Callithrix jacchus: one gene and its partners. The protein of the gene in region 5 binds, or shares a complex with, the protein of the main gene of each other region. Links are inferred from orthologs where the notes say so. Each region holds a gene or a part of one and is shown on either strand. Other genes may lie near its edges. The genes, in order: ZER1, CORO2A, GPS2, ZYG11B and TBL1X.

Region 1 (4,240 bases), on a different chromosome or scaffold from region 5:
AAAGGGGAGGTAAGGGGAGCGAGTCAAGAGGCTGGAGAGGGAGAGGGAGCCCTGGGGGTGAGGATGGCCATAAAAGTCTTTGTCGTCTATGTCAGGTGTTATAAGCAAAGAGATGCCCGGATTAGATTTATGTTTTGGAAAAATCACTCTGGGACTGTGGGAATGTGGAGGGAATGAGGGGTGGGAGGAGGGCGTTGTTAGGAGGGCTGTTGTAGAAATCCAGAGAAGAGCTGCGGTGGCTCACACCTGTAATCCTAGCACTTTGGGAGGCCAAGGCGGGTGGATCATCTGAGGTCAGGAGTTCTAGCAGCCTGGCCAACACGGCAAACCTGTTTTACTAAAAATACGAAAATTAGCCGGGCACGATGGCAGGCGCCTAATCCCATCCACTCAAGAGGCTGAAGCAGGAAACTTACGTGAACCCGGGAGGTGGAGTTTGTAGTGAGCCGGCTCTGGCCATTGCACTCCAGCCCTGGCAACTAGAGCAAAACTCCATCTCGCAAAAAAAAAAAAAAAAAAGAGAGAGAGAGAGAAATCCAGACACTGAAATGATGGTGAACAGACATTGGCACTACTGAGGGAGGAGAGAGGGGCTGGTTCTTGTTTGTGTTTGAAACGGAGTCTCACTCTGTGGAGTGCAGTGTTGCGATCTGGGCTCACTGCCACCTCTGCCTCCTGGGTTCAAGCGATTCTCCTGCTTCAGTCTCCTGAGTAGTTGCGACTACAGGCGCGCACCAGCTCGGCTAATATTTGTAATTTTAGTAGAGATGGGGTTTCACCATGTTAGCCAGGCTGGTCTCGAATTCCTGACCTCAGGTGATCCGCCCGCCTCGGCCTCCCAAAGTGCTGGGATTACAGGCATGAGCCACGGGGCCCGGCCAGAAGGGGCTGGTTTGACAGGATCCTTAGGACTTGGAGACCGATTGAGGGGTCTGGGGCAATGCAAGGGCCGAGGTCGCCTCCCAACTTCCCATCCGGAAGCTCGGTTGCCTGGTGGCGCATGCCCTAGATGGAGGTGTAGGAGCACGTTTTGGGGGATGGTGATGACTGCGGCTGGACGCGCGAGTGTGAGCCACCTGTGAAGAACGCGAGAGATGTTCAGTAGGGCGCTGGATGGAAGGGGCTGGCGCCGAGTCAGTCCTGCCCTTCAGCAGTGCTGGGCTCAGATGAACCGCAGCTCTAGGGCGGGCACCAAACCTGGAATTCCACGAATGGGCCCCTCGGAGACCAGGGAAGGCCCTGGAGGACACGTGCTCTCGGCCGGCCTGAGGGCGCACCCCACTGCCCCCTTCACCCTCGGACTGCGCTGGGCCCGGGAGAGGAGCCTCCCACCGGGCCCCGGAACCTTCTGCCGCCGTCGCCCGCGTTGGCCGCGGGACGGCTCGGGGGAACCCGTTCGCTGTTGCTAAGGGGCGTCCCCGGAAGTGACGCACCCCAGGTTTGTTGACAGCGGAGGCGGCGGCGGCTGCAGGCTCGGAGCAGTAGGAGCCGGATCGGGGGAGGGGCCGGGCCCGGGAGCCTCAGCCCCGCCGGCAGCCCTAAGGGCAAGGTAACCGCCACGGGGTCCCCGTCGCGACCCCCTCCCGTCCGGAGCTCCCGTCCGCGGGATCCCAAGCTCCGCCCAGCCGACCCTCGTCTCCCCCGGACCCCGGCCCTAGCCTGACGAGCTCCCCAACCTCCTGAGGCGCTCTGGTCCCGGATTCTCCCGGGCTCCATTCTCCGCTCCTCCTCGCCTGCGAAGCATCACGTCCGCTTCCCAACGCTGAGGGCAGCCCCATCCCAGGGTAGGTCCTGGACCCCGGGCCAAGGGATGTACCTGCCTCCTGCCTACGGGGCCTAAGCATCGCCGCTGCAACCACTCTCTGAGGTCCGTCTCGGCCAGTGGTGGGAGGGCTTCCTTCTCTATCCCTGCCGCCGGGTCTGAAAATCGTGTCTTTAAAACTGGGCTCCCTTCCTCCAGAAAGAAAATGACGCTCTGTCGTTTGTCCCTGCAAGATGGGGGATCGGTGTAGGGCTGAAAGGGCGAGCCTCTGCCCCTCCTACCTGTTGGATGAGCTTAAGTTACCCCAGAGCAGTGCTTAAAAGCGAAGGGATGACTTGGATTCTGGATCAGCTCCCAAAAGGGATGACAAAATACAGGGAAATCCAACAGGGTGAGGTTGCAACCCGAGGGCCAAGGGAGCCCGACAGGTGAGTTAAAAGTGAAACTGACTGTACCGGCCACTATAGCTCTGTGGGTAGAACTTGTCTTGGCTGCTCTTTGACTGAAGGACCCCAAGATTTCCAGTCTTTGCCTGTGTTTGTCAGTCCATTCGTTTTGTTTTGTTTTTATTTTCTTTATTTATTTTTTAAAAAATAGAGATGGGGTCTCACTATGTTGCCCAGGGTGGTCTTGAACTCGGGGTCAAGGGATGTACCTGCATCCTCCTCCTTCGCCTCCTGCCTGCGGGGCCTGAGCATCGCCGCTGCAACCACTCTTCAGCCTTCCAAAATGCTGGAATTAATAGGCATGAGCCACTGCGCCTGACTAGTGCATTTGGTTTTTAAGGGGGTGGGGAATGTCCGATGTCTTGGGAAAATTCTCCGATGTATGATCTTTCCCACAGAATGTTTCTCTTCAGGCTTCACACTGGTTAGGATGAGCATGAAAGCACAGCTTTGAAAAGGGTCACAGGAGGCTATACTTAGAGCAGAAAGTGGTGGCCAGGGGTGAAGGGCCTCGCTACTTTGGTTCATTTGTTCATTCAGCAAATAATAAACATGATTTGTAGGGTGGTAATAAGTGCTTTGGAGAAAAAGAAGGAAGGACCATGGGAAGGGTCAGAGAGTGGGAGTTGTCTTTTTATAGAGGGTGTTCAAGGAAGGTCTCTGGTAAGGTGACCTTTGAGCAGAAATAAGTGAGTGAGAGAGCAATCCAGACAGCTCTCTGGTGTCAGAGCATTCCACAGCAAATGCAAAAGTCCTGTGGTCATATGCCTGGTGATTGGAAGAAACAGAAGGAGGGCCAGACACGGTGGCTCACACTTGTAATCCCAGCATTTTGGGAGGTCGAGGTGGGCAGATGACCTGAGGTCAGGAGTTCAAGACCAGCCTGGCCAACATGGTGAAACCTCATCACTACTAAAAGTACCAAAAAAAGTTAGCTGGCCATGGTGGCTCATGCCTGTAATCCCAACTACTCAGGAGGCTGAGGCAGGAGAATCACTTGAATCTGGGAGGTGGAGGTTGCAGTGAGGTGATATTGTGCCATTGCACTCCAGCCTGGGTGACAAGAGGGAGATTCCGTCTCAAAAAAAAAAAAAAGAGGCTGGATGTGAAGGCTCACACCTGTAATCCCTGCTCTTTGGGAGGCTGAGGCAGGTGGATCACCTGAGATCAGGAGTTCGAGACCAGCCTGGCCAACATGGTGAAACCCTGTCTCTACCAAAAATATAAAAAATTACCTGGGCCTGGTGGTGCACGCCTAATCCCAGCTACTCAGGAGTCTGAGACAGGAGAATTGCTTGAACCCAGGAGGTGGAGGTTGCAGTGAGCCGAGATCGCGCCATTGCAGTCCAGCCTGGGTAACAAGACAACAAGAGCAAAACTCCTTCTCAAAAGAGAAAAGAAAAGAAAAGAAACAGCAGGAGGACAAGGGACTGCAGCAGGTTGAAGGAGGGGAAGAATAGTTGGCAAGGAAGTCAGAGAACAGTGAGGACCAAATAACTGTGGAAGACATCAGGGCTGTCCTTGTGATACAGGGTCACAGGGTGTCTAATGGGACACCCTTTCAGAACTGTACTTGTTGAAGTGTCTGGTGGTTGGAGAAAACACAGATCTGTTTTAGATGACAAATGGCCATTGTGCTCTGGCCTTGGGTTGTAAGTACCCTTCTTCCATCTTTGTAATGACTATTGATGGAATAAATACAAAGAATCATGGTCACAGAGCACTGCGATTAAATCAAGTTATGCTGTTGCTTCCTGGTTGTGGTAATATGGGCACAGGACCTTTTTCCACCTTAGTCTTCTCATCTGGAAAATCGAGCAGGCTGATGCAGTGCTCACACCTGTAATCCCAGCATTTTGGGAGGCCAAGGCAGGTGGATTACCTGAGGTCAGGAATTTAAGACCAGCCTGGCCAAACACGGCAAAACCCCATCTCTATAAAAAAATACAAAAATTAACTGGGCATGGTGGCGCACACCTGTAATCCCAGCTACTCGGGAGGCTGAGGCAGGAGAGTCACTTGAACCCAAGTA
Region 2 (4,094 bases), on a different chromosome or scaffold from region 5:
CACAGCCCCTCTTCCAGCCGCAGCCCCAATGCTGGCCTGCATTTGCCTAGACCAAGTCTCCCACCCCCCCACCCCGCTGAGCTGAAAGCTCCTAGCTCTATCTCCACACACCACACACGGCCAGGCGTGGCCTAGCACAGCACCTTCCACCCAGGTGCCTCCCCTTCCCTCCTCTGCTGGGCTTGCTCTACTTGACCTTGAAGGCTCAGCTCAACCGTGTCGTCCCAGAGGCCCACCCTGACTCCCCAGATTTCCATCTCCCTGCTGCAACTTGCGGCGCTGGCCTTAGCCCTGGTGACCCTGAATTGAGCTTGCTGGTTACATGGGGGCCTCCCCCATCCTCTGAGCTCCCCCGTAACTGACCCTGACCCTGTCTGGGTCCATCATGCATCTCCCTTACAGTGCCCAGCATGGCATCAGACTCACAGTGGGCACTGATGATGTCGGCTGAACTGACTCTGGGCCCCCGGTCCCTGAGGCAGGCAGAGTGAGGGCTGATTTGTGGGTCCATGCTGAGAACAGAATGCAGGGCCCTGGTTGGATGTCCGCCCCAGGACCAGAGTTGCAGAGCTTCAGCCCTGCCTTGGGCTGACTGTGGGACCCTAAGCAAGGCTTTCTCCCTCTCTGGGCCTCAGTGTCCTTCTCTGTCCAAAGACAGGCCCGAAAGCTCTGTGCCAGAAAGTGGACAGTGAGCAGGAAGTGGAGCCCAGATTTTCAGCCTCTGGAGGCGTCTTGGAAAATCCCCAGTGACCCTTGTCGCTCGAAACTCCCAGATAAGGAGATTGTGGGGCAATAAATCTGTGTGGAGTTTTGTCAGATCCTGATTTGGGGGGTTAAACAGGAAGAAGCTCTGCTGTGTCTTCAGAAGGCCTAGGCAGGAAGGAGACCAGCCTTCTGAGGACGGCTGACAGGTGGACAAGCTCTGCCGCCCTCGAGGTCCTGAGTGTGTCTGGCGTGTGCAGGCTGCAGCGCCCTCACAGATCATCCTAACAGGTGGGCAGGGCAGGGCTGTTACTATCATGTGGATAGAAACACAGAAAGCGGGAGAGGGGATGAGATTTGCCCAAGGTCATGGAGTGAATTGGTGTCAGAATTAGGATTATCGGCCAGGGCTCAGTGGCTCATACCTGTAATCTCAGCACTTTGAGAGGCAGAGGCGGGTGGATCACCTTAGGTCAGGAGTTCAAGATCAGCCTGGGCAACATGGTGAAACCCTGTCTCTACTAAAAGTACAAAAATTAGCTGGGTGTGGTGGTGCATGCCTGTAATCTCAGCTACTCGGGAGGCTGAGCAGGAGAATCACTTGAACCCCGGAGGCAGAGGTTGCGGTGAGCCAAGATTGCGCCATTGCACTCCAGCCTGGGTGACAGAGCAAGACTTTGTCTCAAAAAAAGAAAAAAACAAAGCAAAAAAAAAGAATTGGGATTCTCCAGCCTGACCAGCACACTGCTATGACAGTGATGGGCCCAGCCCGTTGGCTCCTAGCACCCCAAGGTGGAATTCGGAAGAAGCTGCTGGTTTGAATGGAAGCTCAAGCTGAGAGTCAGGTGGGCCTCCCCCTGGGTCCCCACAGGGCTGTACATGGGCGCAGCAGAAGGGGAGAACCATCTGGGGTTGACAGTCCTCGGGGTGTGTTGGTGGGGGAGGAAGGAAGAGAAGGAAAAAACACAGTGGGCAGGAAAGGAGGAGGGGAGGGGCACTTCCATGAGCCGAGCTCCTACGTTGTGCCAGACACATGCAAAGTCTTTTACGTACATGATCTAATTTAATCTTCTAGATTCTATGAGAAAAATATTAGGGTACTCTAATGCTATGGTACAGAGACAAACAGGGGTCCAGGGCTTGAAACTGGTGACTTCTTTTTCCCTGCCCTTGGCTACCTCCCCAAATGTCAGGATGGGACTGCATGGGATGGAGAGACTGCTCAGTCTGGGAGGCGGGGAGGCTCCCTGGAGGTGGTTCTGCTGGAGCTGGGCCAGGAAGGTGGGGTGAGAGGAAGGGGCATCCTAAGAGCCCCGCTAAGTGCCACCCAGCAACTTACCTGGGCTGGAGTAGTTCTAGGTGGAGGGAAGGGGCATGAGCAAAGATGGATTATCTGGGAAAACATGATGCTTCTTTATTTTCTTTTTGCTTCTCCCCTTCTCTTTTGAAAAATGTGATGCTTTGAGGGGAAAGCAGACAGACCAGTTCAGCTTAGAGAACAGGTCTGTGGAGATGAGAAGGAGATCAGGGACGCAGGGGGAATGTAGAGACCTCAAAACCCAAGTCCAGCAGAGGACTTTATCCTGAGGACAGAGGGGACCCGGGTGGGTTTCAACAGACGTCGGGAAGGGGCAGGGCCAGAGTTGAGGTCGGAATACTCTAGGCCTGAATCCCCAAGAGAGAAGGCTGCTCAGGCCTTGGCATGGCCTGGGAGAGGAGTAGAGAGCAGGTGGGGGCTGTGGGGGGCAGGGCTGGCTGGGGAGGAGGCAGGGCAGGAGGAGGAGGCCAGTCCAGGGACGGTGGCTCTGGGCAGTGTCAGATGTAGGGAGGAGGCACTCCCGCAGGCCTAATCTCATCAGGAAGAAAGAGGCCTTGTCTTGGCTCGCTCTCTGACTCAATCTGTACTTCCTGTGGGCCTGCAGGGAGGCATCTGTGCTGGACCAGAATGATGGGCAGCGCAGGGGCGGGGAAGGCGGAGACCTGAGGACAGGGCTGTTTGTGTTTGCCGGCTGCAGACCGCTTCTGCCTCCCTTGTTGATGGTCGAGCCCCAACAACCCTCACTCGTGAGAGTCCCTGGATGGCTGCACTCCTGCTTCCCTGCCTGGGCTGTGCTGATGGAGAAGAAGCAAAGGGTTTTTTCCCCTGCTCCTCCACCCCATCCCAGGCCCCTCAGCACCAGGGCAGGGTGGGGCCTTCTGACATCCACCCGGGAGAGCCCAGCCTGGAGAAGCACAAATGCACTCTCTTGGATTCTTCTCATCCAGCAGGGATTGTCAGCTAGCCTTCTGCATGTGTGTGTCTGTTCCCCATCATCATCGTGAGCGCCAGGGGTTGGAACTCTCACGAGCCACTCAGACCCTGGCAGCCTGCTTTATGCTTTCTGGTTTGGGATTTTTATTTAGATCCCCAAAATATTGGGCTCCCAGCATATACCTGGTTGTGTGTTAAATCACATCTCAGTGTCCTGTACACATTAGGACCACAACAATCTTACTAGTCAACGTCTGCTGAACACTACGTATGCACCAAGTGTGACTCCGCATGCTGTGTATAAGTGTCACCTCATGTAAGTGTCCAGGCACCCCTGTGAGAGTGTGGACCTGCGACTGAACAGCGTGGCCTGGATTCCAGCCCAGCCACTAACTAGCTGTGTGGTCTTAGGCAAGTTACATAACCTCTCTGTGCCCTGTTTCCTCATCTTAAAAATGGGGTGATGATAGTATTTGCATGAGGGTTGAGTTAGTACATAGAATATACTAAACACCTAATCAGCAATATAGGTGTTAGCTATTATTTGTATTTGTAGCTCCTGATTCTCCTAGTGAGGAAACAGACACATTAACTTGCCCAGAGTGGCAGAGAGGAAATGTTAGGGCGGTGCTGTCCGACAACTTTTTTCAGTGATGGGCGTGCTCTATAATTACTTATATGGCTTCATCTGTGAATATTAAGCACGTGTGGCTTTTGAGCTCTTAAAATGTTGCTAATGTGACTAAGGAGCTAGATTTTACACTTTATTTGATTTTAACTTTAATTTAGAAGTCTTGTGGGACTAGAGGTTCTGTGTTGCACAGGGCTGTTTACAGCCAAGATTCGAACCCTGACAGTCAAGCTCCAGAGCCTGGGCCACCTCTGTGCTCTCCTGCTTCTTTCTTGCATAAATCTTGTACAAAGGAAATTTAAAGACACATACAAAATTAAAGAGAAGATTCCAGTGAATCCTCATGTACCCCGACCCACCATCAGCAGCCTGTTTCATCTCTACTCCCTCATTTTCTCCTCCTCTGTTCAACAGCCCCAAGGTATTTTAAAATAAATCCTGGATGTTATACCATTTCATCTGTGAATATTAGGCATATGTCTCTAAAAGATAAAGACTCTTGTCTAATAT
Region 3 (4,009 bases), on a different chromosome or scaffold from region 5:
CATCACTTGAGCCCAGGAGACAGAGGTTGCAGTGAGCTGAGATTGTGCCACTGCACTCCAGCCTGGAAGGTGGGAGACATTCGAGCAAAGGCTTGAAGAAGGAAGTAAAGGGTAGCTGAGCAGGCTTTGGGAGGAAGAGCATTTCAGGTAGAAAGAACAGCTAGAACGAAGTTCCCAAAAGGTGAGAGGATTTCCTAGGTAAAGCAAGGCTTGTGTGGTTGGAACAGACTTTGCAAGGGGAGAGGTGATGGGGTGAGAGGCTTCACTCCCCTATTTCTTCTTGTCTGACAGATTCCGGGACCCCAAATCCCAGCGGACGCACCAGGCTCAGGTGGCGTTCCAGGTGTGTGTGCGTCCTGGCTCCTACACCCCAGGACCCCCTTCCGCTGCCCTTGGAGAACCTTCTGACCCTCACTTCAGCCCAGCCGAACTTGAGTGGGTCACTAAGGAGAAGGGGGCCACACTCCTCTATGCTCTGCTGGTACGGGTGGAATGAGGGGTGAGACACCACTACTACAAGCACAGTCGGGCCTCAGGCCCATGGACTCCGAGTGGCGACTGCCTCCACCTCATTCCCGTGACTGTGGCATGCGCAGGTGCTGGGGCTCGGCGGCCGCTCAGGAGCATGTAGGCAGGCTCTCAGATGTAGGTGGGAAGCGGCACACTCCAGGTCCAGACGCCCAGCACTCCGTCTGAGGGGAGGAGCTGCGAGAGCCTAGCTCCAGGCCTTGGTACCCTTCTTCATGCACTGATTTGTGGAACATAACTCCCTATTACTCCCCTCCCCGACATCACTTAATTTATTTCAGTTTTTGTTACTGGTTACTGTGAATCCCAGAGGAGTCTCTACCTGTGCCCACATGAAGCTGCTTTTGCCGGGGCCACTGGGCGGGAGTGGGGAAGGGCGGGCGCACGGAAGACGGGGGCCTCTGTACAGTTGTTACTGACTCTGATTTCTAAGGAGCCAATAAACATCGTCTCAGAGCCTCCGCTTCAGCCTCTCTCTCACGCGCCCCTTTCCGGATCCTGCGTCCCCTGGGGTACTGCCAGGCGGGCCCGCGAAATTAAGAGAACTGAAGATGCCAAGGCAGTTGTGCGGCGACGGGGTTTGGACGCCGCGGGTACCCGTCGCATCGCGCTTCCGCCTTCTCCCACCCAATCAGTGAGATCGGCCGCCGCCGTGACTCCGGAAGGACTCGTCGGGCCACCGGATGTGACGTAGGGTCCAGGGCGCGCCGGAGCCGCGGAAAAAGCGCAGAGAAGGCTGGTAAGGAGGGTTGGCGTCCGGGCTGGCCAGGCAGGGAGCGGCAGCACCGAGCCGGGGACCCAGCGCCGCCCGCGCGCGTGCTGGAGCGGGGGCTGCGGGCTCGGCCGGGTGGCGGGCTCCCGGGACACGTGACCGGGGCGGCGAGCGGGTTTCCGCCTGAGCCGGGCGCGGGCCCCTCTGAGCGCCCGCCTCTCCGTAGGTCTCGTCTGAGGTCTGGCAGTGAGAGACAGAGCCGGGCGTCCACGGCAGCACCATGCCTGCACTTCTGGAGCGCCCCAAGCTTTCCAACGCCATGGCCAGGGCGCTGCACCGGCACATTATGATGGAACGGGAGCGCAAGAGGCAGGGTGAGCCGGGGCCATAGCGGAGGGCATACGGCCCAGAATGGCTCCTGTACCTCAGGGCTGGCCCCAACCCACCGGCCAACCTGCGCGCCCGCTGCCGAGCGCAGAGGAGGGAACGAACAGCTCTGTTGTGGTAGGATTTAAGCGTCCTAGTCCACTCTCCAGGACCCTTGAGCTGGGAAGGACCTTGGAGAGCACCTGATAAAGTCTCTCCATTCCATTCCCTATTGCAGCGTTGGGGAGCTTGTCCCCTCGAGGCAAAGAGCCCACAGGCGTGTTGGGATGACTGGGTTTTGCTGGTCTTCAATCTGTAACGTTGGAATTTTTACTACCCTGCCTCTTCCTCATTCTGCGTGATTCTCCAGAGGAAGAAGAGGTGGACAAGATGATGGAACAGAAGATGAAGGAAGAGCAAGAAAGAAGGAAGAAAAAGGAGATGGAAGAGAGAATGTCACTAGAGGAGACCAAGGAACAAGTAAGCAGTCCCTTGATCTCTCCAAGCTCTAAATTCTTCCCTTGACTCTCCCTGCCTTCATCTTCTCTCCCCACCCCATACCAGATTCTGAAGTTGCAGGAGAAGCTTTTGGCCCTACAGGAAGAAAAGCACCAGCTTTTCCTGCAGCTCAAGAAAGTTTTACATGAGGAAGAAAAACGGAGGCGAAAGGAACAAAGGTGGGATCAGAGTGATAAAAACCGAAATGGGGGCTAAGTGGAACTGGGATCAGATAGTAAGACAACCAGTGTTTTAACGACAAAAGAGAGAGTGTCTGTCCTTGACTTTGATCTGTTTTCCTTCCGCTCCAGTGACCTGACCACCCTGACATCAGCTGCATACCAGCAGAGCCTGACTGTTCACACAGGAACTCATCTCCTCAGCATGCAAGGTGAGGATTAAAAAAACTACCTGATAGAACCAGCCTTCTTTGAGGTTGCAGCCTACCATTTCAGCATCCTGCCGCCCTTCTCCCTTTCTAGGGAGCCCTGGAGGACACAATCGCCCAGGCACGCTTATGGCAGCTGACAGAGCCAAACAAATGTTTGGACCCCAAGTGCTTACGGTAAGAATAGGATTGGATGCCTAGTCCCAAATATCCTTGCCACCAGTATTCAAGTCACAGACATATCAAGCACTTAAATTTAGGGGGAAACAAGAGCATAAAGATATACACAAGTCACTGAGTTTCAGCTTTCATGGAGCTTGTAGGTGAGTTCTCATTCTCCCTCCTTAGACTCGGCACTATGTGGGCTCAGCAGCTGCTTTTGCGGGGACACCAGAGCATGGACAATTCCAAGGCAGTCCTGGTGGTGCCTATGGGACTGCTCAGCCCCCACCTCACTATGGGCCCACACAGCCAGCTTATAGTCCTAGTCAGCAGCTCAGAGGTGAGTCGTCGGAGGGATGGGGGCTTGGCTTTCCTCAGGGTCAAAAGAGGAATGCTATTGAGTAAAGGGTTAATAGCCGTGTCTCTTTCTCAGCTCCTTCAGCGTTCCCTGCAGTGCAGTACCTATCTCAGCCACAACCACAGCCCTATGCGGTACACGGCCACTTTCAGCCCACTCAGACAGGTGATAACATCCCATGCAGGACCTCTAGCTCTCTGGGTCCTCCCCTCCCTGTCTCATTGTTTCACATGCCCCTGCTCCCCACCTAGGTTTCCTCCAGCCTGGTGGTGCCCTGTCCTTGCAAAAGCAGATGGAACATGCTAACCAGCAGACGGGCTTCTCTGACTCAGTGAGTATGGCGCTTGGGAGGTCAGGGTTAAGGATATGTTAAGAGGAGCTTCAGTATGCGTCAGGCCCTGACTCTGTTCTCTGCAGTCCTCTCTGCGCCCCATGCACCCCCAGGCTCTGCATCCAGCCCCTGGACTCCTTGCTTCCCCCCAGCTCCCTGTGCAGATCCAACCAGCAGGAAAGGTAAGAATGGTAATAACCTTACCTGTCAGAATCCCTATCCCAGAAAAGCAGAATTAGGTAGGACAGGTGGCCCACATCATCTGGTTTTACCTTCCTCTTTGGGGGTGGTTATCAGTAAGGGTATTAGTGGAAGGGAAAGTATGCCCAGTGACAAAGCCCTCTTTTCATCACCACCGCCAGTCGGGCTTTGCAGCTACCAGCCAACCTGGCCCTCGGCTCCCCTTCATCCAACACAGCCAGAACCCGCGATTCTACCACAAGTGACCATCAGATTATTATCTTCAACACCATACCCCCCATCCTACTGTGGGTGAGGGTACCCCCTGTGTGTCCCAGGCCAATAAAATCTACCTGCCACTGCCCCTGGCTGCTGCTGTTTGTGTTGCCTCCCACCCAACTGTCTGGAATAGGTCAAGGCTGCTTGAAGGGTTGGGTTAGGCTGGCAGGTCTACAGCAAGTCAAAGTGATACAGATAGTGGGTTTC
Region 4 (3,938 bases), on a different chromosome or scaffold from region 5:
TAGCTAAAAGATGAATAATTCACTTGTAGGTAAGGAAAGGAAGGCAGAAAGAGTGTCAAAGCAGAGATACAGATTAGTTGAAAGTCATGGTGAGTGCTGAGAACTGGTAGATGTTCTTTTTGGTTTGCTTCATTTTCCCGTGAATTGGAAGCAAAATCATCAGCTAAATGAGGATGAGGAAGGAAGTGTTGGAGGTTTTAAGAGACAGGAGACTTGAAATAGTTATGTAGCAAGGTGGGAGAGTGTGTGAAACTGGAGAAATGTGGTAGTGTAGCCACGAATGATGGCCCCTTGAGAATAATGATCTCAAATTTACCGGGAGTCAGTCAACCACTTTTGGCTTTTTCTTCACCCACTCCACTGCTGGACTTTCATCAGTACAAAGAAAGCAGAGAAAGACTGGATAAATGAAGGTAATACTGAAGAAATCGACTTCATGTACCTCATGTACTCATGTTCTTCCTGAAACAGCTTAGATGTTATTAGATTCCATTTCATGATGGACAATAGAATCTAAGCTGTTTCAGAAACATAGTGAGTACATGAGGACAGTATGGGGAAGAATAGCGAAAGGTAGCTGGATCAATGGATTTGGGGTCTTGGGGTTGAAGTTTTTGGAGTTGGAGTATTATCAGAGAGAGTGAACTAGAAAGGAAGAAGGTTGTGATGGGAGTTAGAGGATTAAAATTGAGATTGTAAAGGAGTTATTCGTTTGAGCATGAGAGTGAGGGGCTGAGCCAAGAATGATTCCTACAGAAGACTCTGAGAGGCCAGAAGATTGGAAGAATTAAGCGAATGTTGAAATCACCGAGAATTATGACAATAGTAGTAATGAATAACAGTGTACTAGAAGCCCAAATCTTAAAGAATGATGGTGAGTGACAGAGGGGTCTATAGGTGACGGAAGCGAGAGGTGCTGTAATCTCTTGTCATGATGTAATATTTAAAGCTCTTCATATTTTGAAGGGAAGCTAGGATTTGGGGGTGTGTGGCTCCTTTAAGAGCCGGAGAAGGGGAGAAGCTCGAGGTCGGGCTGGGGGGGCGGACCCCTCGGCTGAGTCTGCGTATTGAGAGTGGAGGCGGGGCCAAGCTCGGGCTCCCGCGCCTGGGCGGGTCCTCGCGGGGGCGGAGTCTGCACTCCGGTTCGGGCTGCGGCTGCGGCTGCGGCTTTGGTTGCTGCACTTCTACCTTTTGAGGGAAAGAGGCCGAGGCCTGGGCCAAGCCCGGAGCCGCCGCTCGCCGGAGCCTCCTGGAGCCTCCGCGCCGGCTCAGCCTGGGGGCGGGCTCCGGTCCGGCCCGCCGCCGCATCCAGGACGGAGGCTGCACGCCCGAGGACCAGGCCGGCGCAACCATGGTGAGGGAGCGAGGCCTGCCCTAGCCGCAGCCGCCTGCCACCCTAGCCCCCGCCTGCCGCGCTAGCCCCTGCAGGAATGCCCTCCCTGTCTCTGGTATCCTCTCGGCCTCTCTGTCTTTACCTCTCTCCCTCGTAACCTCCCTCTCGGTGTCCAGCTCCTCCTTCCCGGTGCTCCCTCATCCACCTGCTGGGGTGAGCCCCTTTTAGGTGACACCCCCTGAATCTCCCTTCTCCCCAATGACATCCTTTTTATCATCCCCAGTGACAGCCTTTTTCGCATTCCCTTTGTCGCCCACTCCTCGTCCTTTAACCCTAACCCTTCCTTCCTTTCTCCTCTATCATTTTGCCTTTTTTTCCTCTTATGGGATTTTTACTTTCCCTCCTTTCCTCGCTATTTTTGGCTGCTCTTTTTTGCTCTTCTTACCCCTCTTCACCATTTTATCTCCACTGCCCCCTCCTTCCGTGTTCCTTCTCCCCTTCGTCCTCTCCCATCCACGTTTCCTCTTCCCTTATCGGATGTCCTCGCTCGGCTCGCTTTCACAGCTGTCCCTATTTCCTTCTACGGGCTTCAGGGGTCTAAGCAGGAACAATTTGAGAACTGTTGCTTCCCGGGAGCTGCAGGCCGGACAGATAGGAATTTGTAGGCTCGCTTCTTCCTTTCCGTTTTTGGAGGCATTGAAGAGATCTTGGAATCCTATTACCTGGTGTCATTGCAAAACCGGAGTGGTGGTGTGTTAGAGCCACGAAGTGAGGGCCAGCATGCATACTGTGACCTTAGGAGAGAGCTAGTCTTTTGACGGAAATAGCTTAAAATTGTTTCGAATTTTTTTTTTGAGCATCTTTTAATGTGGAGGTACGGTTGGGGAAATTTTTAAATACTTATTTACAAGCTTGACTGTTATTAGCTAAAACAAATGATTTATGTTCATTTGGAGGCAGAGACCAAGGGCATTTGAGGACTGACAATCAGCTTGGCAGGTTGTGGTAGTCTCTTTAAACCTTCTAAAGAGTTCATTTGTTTTGCCCTCTCTGCCTTTAGTTGGGAGAACCTTATATTTGCAAATTTTCTTCTTTATGTTTGAAAACAGGTTGAGGCTTCAGTTGTTTTTTTTTCGTTGAGTTGGCTTATAAGTGGTTTGCTGTACATTAATTGAAAACATTGCTTCATCATATGCAACAAGCTAAACTTTGGTCTCTGGGAGGAATGAGACATTCTAGTCAAAACTAAGTCCTGATAATCATGTTTTCCTAGTTTGTTTTTTTTTCCCCTCCATCTGTTTTTTAGAAAAGTGATTTACTATAAAATTATTTAATCTGTGAATTTTCCCTAACTTGCTTCTGCATTTTTAGGCTGTAATTTTCCTGTCTCCTTCACTGTCATTGTATATTAACCTGTTCTCCCTGTGGAATGTAAGTTCTAGGTAGTAACCGTGCCTTACTTATTCCAAGTGCTTAGGCCAGCTAGGTGCTTAAATGAATCACTTTATATTCTCATTTCCCACCTGACTAGTATAAACTTAAACTGAAATTTTGAGGTAACTAGTGGACCACACAGAAAGAGTGAGTATGGGAATTGTTGTTTGGAGACGGTCTTGCTCTGTGGCCCAGGCTGGAGTGCAGTGGCATAATCATGGCTCTCTGCAACCTTGAACTCCTGGGCTCAAGTGATCTTCCCACCTCAGCCTCACAAGTGGCTGGTACCACAGGCACGGGCTACTGTGCCCTGCTAATTTGTAAAATTTTATGTAGAGATGGAGTCTCGCTGTGTTTCCCAGTCTGGTCTTGACCTCCTGGACTTAAGCCATCCTCCTACCTTGACCTCTAAAAGTGCTGCAATTACAGGCATGAACCATCATGCCTGGGCAGAGAATCTTAATTTTGGTGCAAAAATGATATTAGGTGAGGTATGATGATGTACTCTCCAGAATAAAAAGCCATCCTACCTAAGACATCACATTGCTAGATTTTTGAAAGTGTGGGTCCTTCCACTGAGAATGAATTTATGAAAGGGAGGAGTTACGAACTCCCCTTTTAGGTATTTAGGATCCCAAAGTGTCCTGGGATCCTAAATACCTGGGACTGAAAGATGAATAGGATTTGAATAGGATTTGTATAAACCATTTTGGGAAGGGGAAGAATGCTTCATTGTGAATGAGTAGCAAGTAGAAAGGATGCTCTCACAGGGATATTTTTTTTTTAAAAGAAAGAAAGTAGGAAGGAATTAGGATGCATTATAGGGAGTAGTATTACCCTTATATAGCATGGAAGGATGCAAGAATGAAGATGTGTAGTAGGAAATGAGACTAGGAAGATATTGTTTTAGCCCATTCAATCTATTGTAACAAAATACCGTAAACTAGGTAGGTTGTCAACAACAGAAATTATTTCTCAGGCTTCAAAGTCCAAGATCAATTCCCCAGATTTTTTTTTTTTTTTTGATATGGAGTTTTGCTCTTGTTACCCAGGCTGGAGTGTAATGGCGCGATCTTGGCTCACCGCAACCTCCGCCTCCTGAGTTCAGGCAATTCTCCTGCCTCAGCCTCCTGAGTAGCTGGGATTACAGGCACGCGCCACCATGCCCAGC
Region 5 (4,079 bases):
AAGGGGCAAACTTATTTGAAAAATATTCAACAAGGCTGACCCAAGAGGTGCTGGGTAGGGGGAGCGGAGATCTGTTTAACTGAATTAAGGTCGCGAGTCGTGGGGAGTCGACATCAAGGTGGAGGGGAGGAAGGAGCGCTGGGGACTTGGGTGCACCAGGGCCAGGCAGTGTAAGCCGTTACGTCAAACACTTAGCAAGGGCCCGAGGGCTGAAGCCTAAGGTTGGGGGTGGGGGTGATGAAGCCCGCTGGCCCAGGTCCCCTAACCTCCTCCTCAGCCCCCACCCCTGAGCTCCGGCCACTCTGACGGGGTCTGAGTTTGTCCCTAAGCATTTCTGGCTCTTCCCGGGAGGTGTTTTGCAAAGGTGGAGGTTCCGCCGGAGTCCCCACTTCTTGAGGTGGGGAAAGATAACTGGGGTGTCTTTTAAAACGCCGATTTTGAGGTAGATACACCCTCGGGCAGGTGGCTGGGGTTCTGTCAGGGAAGCCGGGTTGCTTCCTTTTTGGGATGGGGGAGGGTAACACTTTAGCAGTGACCGAGGTTCCCCTGCCCGCTATAAACCGAGGGGGTGGCCGAGGTTCCTGTCCTCTCCAGGCAGTCGTGGAAAGGCTGGGTTTGGGATGGAATGAGGGTAAGCCTGGGTTCCTCTCAGTCCCACGGGGGCCACGGGGAAGGGACCGGGCCCCGGCAACTAGGGAGAGGCCCGGGTTCCCCTCACCCACCCTAGGCGTGGGGGAGCGGGGAGAGCTGGGTAGGGACGCTAGTCCCCCGACCCAGGGGCAAGGGCTGGGTTGGGACGCGGGTCTCCCACTAGGTTCAGTGGGGGAGGGGCGGGGCTGGAGTCCCTATCCTCGTGGGGGAGGGGCTGGCTCGGGACGCGGCCCCCCCGGGGCGCAGGGGCGGGGCCGGGTGGGACGCGGGGTCGCCTCCCACGGCCGCGAGGGAGGGGCCGGCGGCGGGGGCGGCCCCCTAGGCTGTCCTCCCAGCTGGAGTCCGCGCGCTCGCAGCCGCTCCCCGCGGAGGTCACTGCCCGAGCCAGTCCCTCTCGCCGTCCCGCTCCCTCCCGCCGTCCCGCCCTCTCCCGCCGCCGCCGCCGCCGCCGCCGCCGCGCCCGCCTCAGCGCCCCCACTCCGCGCTTGGGAGCGAGGAGCCGCCAGCGCCCCCGCCCCGCTGCCGCCGCCGCAGCTCTCTCCGGCCGCCATTCGCCACCGAAACTTTCCAGCGCCCGCGCCCTCTCAGGGACTCGGCGGCGGCGGGGCGGGGGCGGCCCAGGGGCGGCGCGCCGCTGCTCCAGGGCGCCGGGCCCTCTTCGGCCGCCACACGGCAGGGGCTCGGAGGCTGCCTGCTGGAGGGAGGTTCGGAGCGCAGACCGGCGCGCGGCGCCGCCACAAGTTGCGCTGCTCGCGGTGAGGTGAGTGCGCGGGGCTCGGCGGGCCGGGCGCTGGGTCCGCAAACTTCTGCGGGGAGGCGGGTTCCGTGCTGACCCTCGGGGGTCCTGCCGGAGGCTCGGGGAGCCCGACGCTCCTCCCGCCCCTGGAACTCCTGGAGGCGCAGGTCGCCAGCTGTCCCCGCGGCGCTCGGACTGGTGTGCGGCGCGCTCCCCGGAGACTGAACAATACCCCGAGGTGGCGGTTCCCCAAAGTGGGGGTAGGAGACGGAGGTCGGCTGGGGGCTCCTTTGTTTTGGGGAGGGGGAGGCGGCCGGTAAGTTTCGGGAAGCACTCCGCTTCTCCTATGGTGCCTCTTTGTCTGCCGATCCTTAGGCTTGCTGGGTTAACCTGCGCCACCGTGGGCTCCGGGGCCCGAGGTGGAGGGCGGTAGCGGGATTTCCCCCTGTTGGGGAGGGGAGCCCCATTCATCCCCGCTACGCGGGCCGGCCCGCCGGCACCCGGTTGGAAGCGCAGCTGCGCGGAGTGGGGCGAGTGGCTGGTGAGGAGGCGCGGGCTCCGCGTCTGCTCAGTTTCTGAAGCGCAGAAACTGTCAAGGAAGTCGGGAGTCCCTGTCCTCTGCCCATCTCCCCGGCCCGAGCGCACGACCGGGCTGGGGGCACCCCTGGCCCGTCGAGGGTCTGCAGAGCGCCGCCCGGGGAGAGCGCAGACCTGTTGCTGCTCCTGGGCTCTGGCGGGTCGGGTCGGGTGGGTCTCGCAGATCCGGAGCTCTAGCCTTGCTGCGGGGGACTTTATCTAAGGATGGGACCGGTGCTCGGAGTGCGGTATGGGGAGTGTGCCTTCGGGAGTCGGGGATGGCCGGATCTGTGACAACTGTGGGTCGCTGGAGCCCCGCTAGTGCGGGTAAAGGGCCTGGACTTCACGTGCATCGCCTGTGCGCGGTCATACTGGGGCCAGGGCTCGCTCGCTGCAAGGCCTCGTGTTTCCCCAGCCAGCTGCGTTGGACGTTCCACAAAGGTAGGGACCATCGTTTATTTTCGAGTCAGTCAGTGATGTTCTGGAGCAAAACCTAAAAAGAAACAGAAACCCACCCTCTATTGTATTTGCAACTGTTTCTGCTTTGCATTGTCATGTGTGGCTTGACCTGCCTTCTGGATGTTTTCCATCTCCTGACACGCCGCCGAATCCCTGGTTTAACCTGGAAGGCGACCTCCCTGCTAAGGTCCCGGGCCATGGCTTTGGTGTCGGAAAGTGGCTCTTGACCATTTTACGAAAAGTTTACAAGTCCTACCTAGAAAAGATGCAATTAGGAAAATAAAATCTAGAAAAATGTTGAGTATGACATGCTTATTTTAAAGGGTTGTCATGTCTCAGGTGTGCTGCAGATTTTTGTGGAAAGCCACCAAACTGCGTAACTCATACAAACAACGAAAGTTGTTCACCACTGGATCACCGGCTCTTAAGGCGATTCCAGCCCTTCGGAATACACACACCTGTAGGACTGACATGGAGATGTGTGGCGTAGTGCAGACACCCTCGCTTCCCCACCCGCAGGTATTTTGCCCCTTTACTGGACTCAGAGAACTTCTCCCTGCCAGTAGTTTAAAGAGGAAACAGTTTGCAAAAAATAATAACTTTATTGTAGACACACTTAGAAGTGAATGTTTCAAATTCTGGAGTTTTCCCATCAATTATATCAGTACCACTGGTTCTGTGCATCATTCTTAGTTAGAAGCTTTTTTTCACCTTTTAAGGTGATGAGCAGAGGCCATCTCCAGCAGGTCGTGAGTGTCAGGAATTCAGATTCTCTGATCCACTCCTGCTGGGTAAGAGAACACCTCCGTTAGAACCTGGGCCTGGCCCCTTCCCAGTTTTCTACAAAACTGCCTTGCAGCACTGTCCTGTGGGCCTCCAGGCCTAGCCGATCATCACAGCTTCTCTGCCCAGCCAGGCAAGACCATCCTTGCGCTGCTTTCCTGTTGCCTTGCTTTGCTTTTTATTCTCCCTTAGGAAAAACAAAAAGACCTAGTACGCTACATCCGAGAGGTTGTTAATCTTTCACTACCACATGCATTGACAAATCAGTTTCAGCCAGGAAGCAACACTAAAGGCATATTATAAACACTTTTTTTTTTAGTTGGAAAGATAAACTTTTTCCCCATAACTATTTTTAGTGAGAGGGAGGTAACTGACCTCTTGAGCAGGAGACTGCGCTCGAGTTTTTCCCACTGGTCTTGCCCCTCCACTCCCGCCCTCACTTTCTGTGGGGCTCGACCAAATGGACCACACTGGCCAGACTGGCAAACTTGAAACCTACCGGAACCCAAAGAAAGGCTGAATGTGGGAAGGGGCTGAAGGAGTCACAGGTTTCTAAAGAGCAAGCAGAGCCTAGGCTGTGAACAGGAGTTTCACATCTCCAGGGGAGAAAGGCAGCTGTTAAGGAGTCCACTCGGGCTGCTGCCTGCCTGGCCAGCGAGAGCCTGACTTCAGATGGATGTGCCACCCAAGCCGGCTTCCTTCCAGCGCGGCCATCCCCATCAAATGTTTACAGATAATCTACTGCATGCCTGAAGGTTGCAGAAGTGAATTGGAAGCTGTTAAAAATGGAATTGGAACAAATTTAAAGTTAAGATGAAAGAGAATATGTTGAGTTTTCAGAGGAAGTCGGGTACTGTTTCCTTTTCTTGCCGAG

What was found.
Region 1: TBL1X (region 5) and ZER1 share a complex: the UniProt entries of both Homo sapiens proteins name them as parts of the E3 ubiquitin ligase complex. The link is inferred for Callithrix jacchus from reciprocal best matches to the Homo sapiens genes TBL1X and ZER1.
Region 2: TBL1X (region 5) and CORO2A share a complex: the UniProt entries of both Homo sapiens proteins name them as parts of the N-Cor repressor complex. The link is inferred for Callithrix jacchus from reciprocal best matches to the Homo sapiens genes TBL1X and CORO2A.
Region 3: TBL1X (region 5) and GPS2 share a complex: the UniProt entries of both Homo sapiens proteins name them as parts of the N-Cor repressor complex. The link is inferred for Callithrix jacchus from reciprocal best matches to the Homo sapiens genes TBL1X and GPS2.
Region 4: TBL1X (region 5) and ZYG11B share a complex: the UniProt entries of both Homo sapiens proteins name them as parts of the E3 ubiquitin ligase complex. The link is inferred for Callithrix jacchus from reciprocal best matches to the Homo sapiens genes TBL1X and ZYG11B.

The regions. Positions count from the first base shown.
Region 1 is NC_133502.1:177,369,025-177,373,264, reverse strand, and holds the start of ZER1 (protein zer-1 homolog), read left to right. Parts: upstream 1-1,436; 5' UTR 1,437-1,549; exon of another isoform or gene 1,550-1,867; intron 1,868-4,240. UniProt on the Homo sapiens protein: Serves as substrate adapter subunit in the E3 ubiquitin ligase complex ZYG11B-CUL2-Elongin BC. Acts to target substrates bearing N-terminal degrons for proteasomal degradation with the first four residues of substrates being the key recognition elements.
Region 2 is NC_133502.1:146,292,795-146,296,888, reverse strand, and holds the start of CORO2A (coronin-2A), read left to right. Parts: upstream 1-1,292; 5' UTR 1,293-1,523; coding exon 1,524-1,547; intron 1,548-4,094.
Region 3 is NC_133506.1:73,797,811-73,801,819, reverse strand, and holds GPS2 (G protein pathway suppressor 2), read left to right. Parts: upstream 1-1,209; 5' UTR 1,210-1,267; intron 1,268-1,466; 5' UTR 1,467-1,520; coding exon 1,521-1,614; exon of another isoform or gene 1,615-1,744; intron 1,745-1,844; exon of another isoform or gene 1,845-1,976; coding exon 1,977-2,086; intron 2,087-2,170; coding exon 2,171-2,283; intron 2,284-2,415; coding exon 2,416-2,495; intron 2,496-2,586; coding exon 2,587-2,669; intron 2,670-2,840; coding exon 2,841-2,994; intron 2,995-3,087; coding exon 3,088-3,177; intron 3,178-3,263; coding exon 3,264-3,343; intron 3,344-3,407; coding exon 3,408-3,525; intron 3,526-3,705; coding exon 3,706-3,839; 3' UTR 3,840-3,885; downstream 3,886-4,009. Other genes in the region: NEURL4 (neuralized-like protein 4), read left to right, coding at 292-496. UniProt on the Homo sapiens protein: Key regulator of inflammation, lipid metabolism and mitochondrion homeostasis that acts by inhibiting the activity of the ubiquitin-conjugating enzyme UBE2N/Ubc13, thereby inhibiting 'Lys-63'-linked ubiquitination.
Region 4 is NC_133508.1:89,253,884-89,257,821, reverse strand, and holds the start of ZYG11B (protein zyg-11 homolog B), read left to right. Parts: upstream 1-1,134; 5' UTR 1,135-1,351; coding exon 1,352-1,354; exon of another isoform or gene 1,355-1,546; intron 1,547-3,938. UniProt on the Homo sapiens protein: Serves as substrate adapter subunit in the E3 ubiquitin ligase complex ZYG11B-CUL2-Elongin BC. Acts to target substrates bearing N-terminal degrons for proteasomal degradation with the first four residues of substrates being the key recognition elements.
Region 5 is NC_133524.1:9,683,057-9,687,135, forward strand, and holds the start of TBL1X (F-box-like/WD repeat-containing protein TBL1X), read left to right. Parts: upstream 1-1,272; 5' UTR 1,273-1,411; intron 1,412-1,893; exon of another isoform or gene 1,894-2,404; intron 2,405-4,079. UniProt on the Homo sapiens protein: F-box-like protein involved in the recruitment of the ubiquitin/19S proteasome complex to nuclear receptor-regulated transcription units. Plays an essential role in transcription activation mediated by nuclear receptors.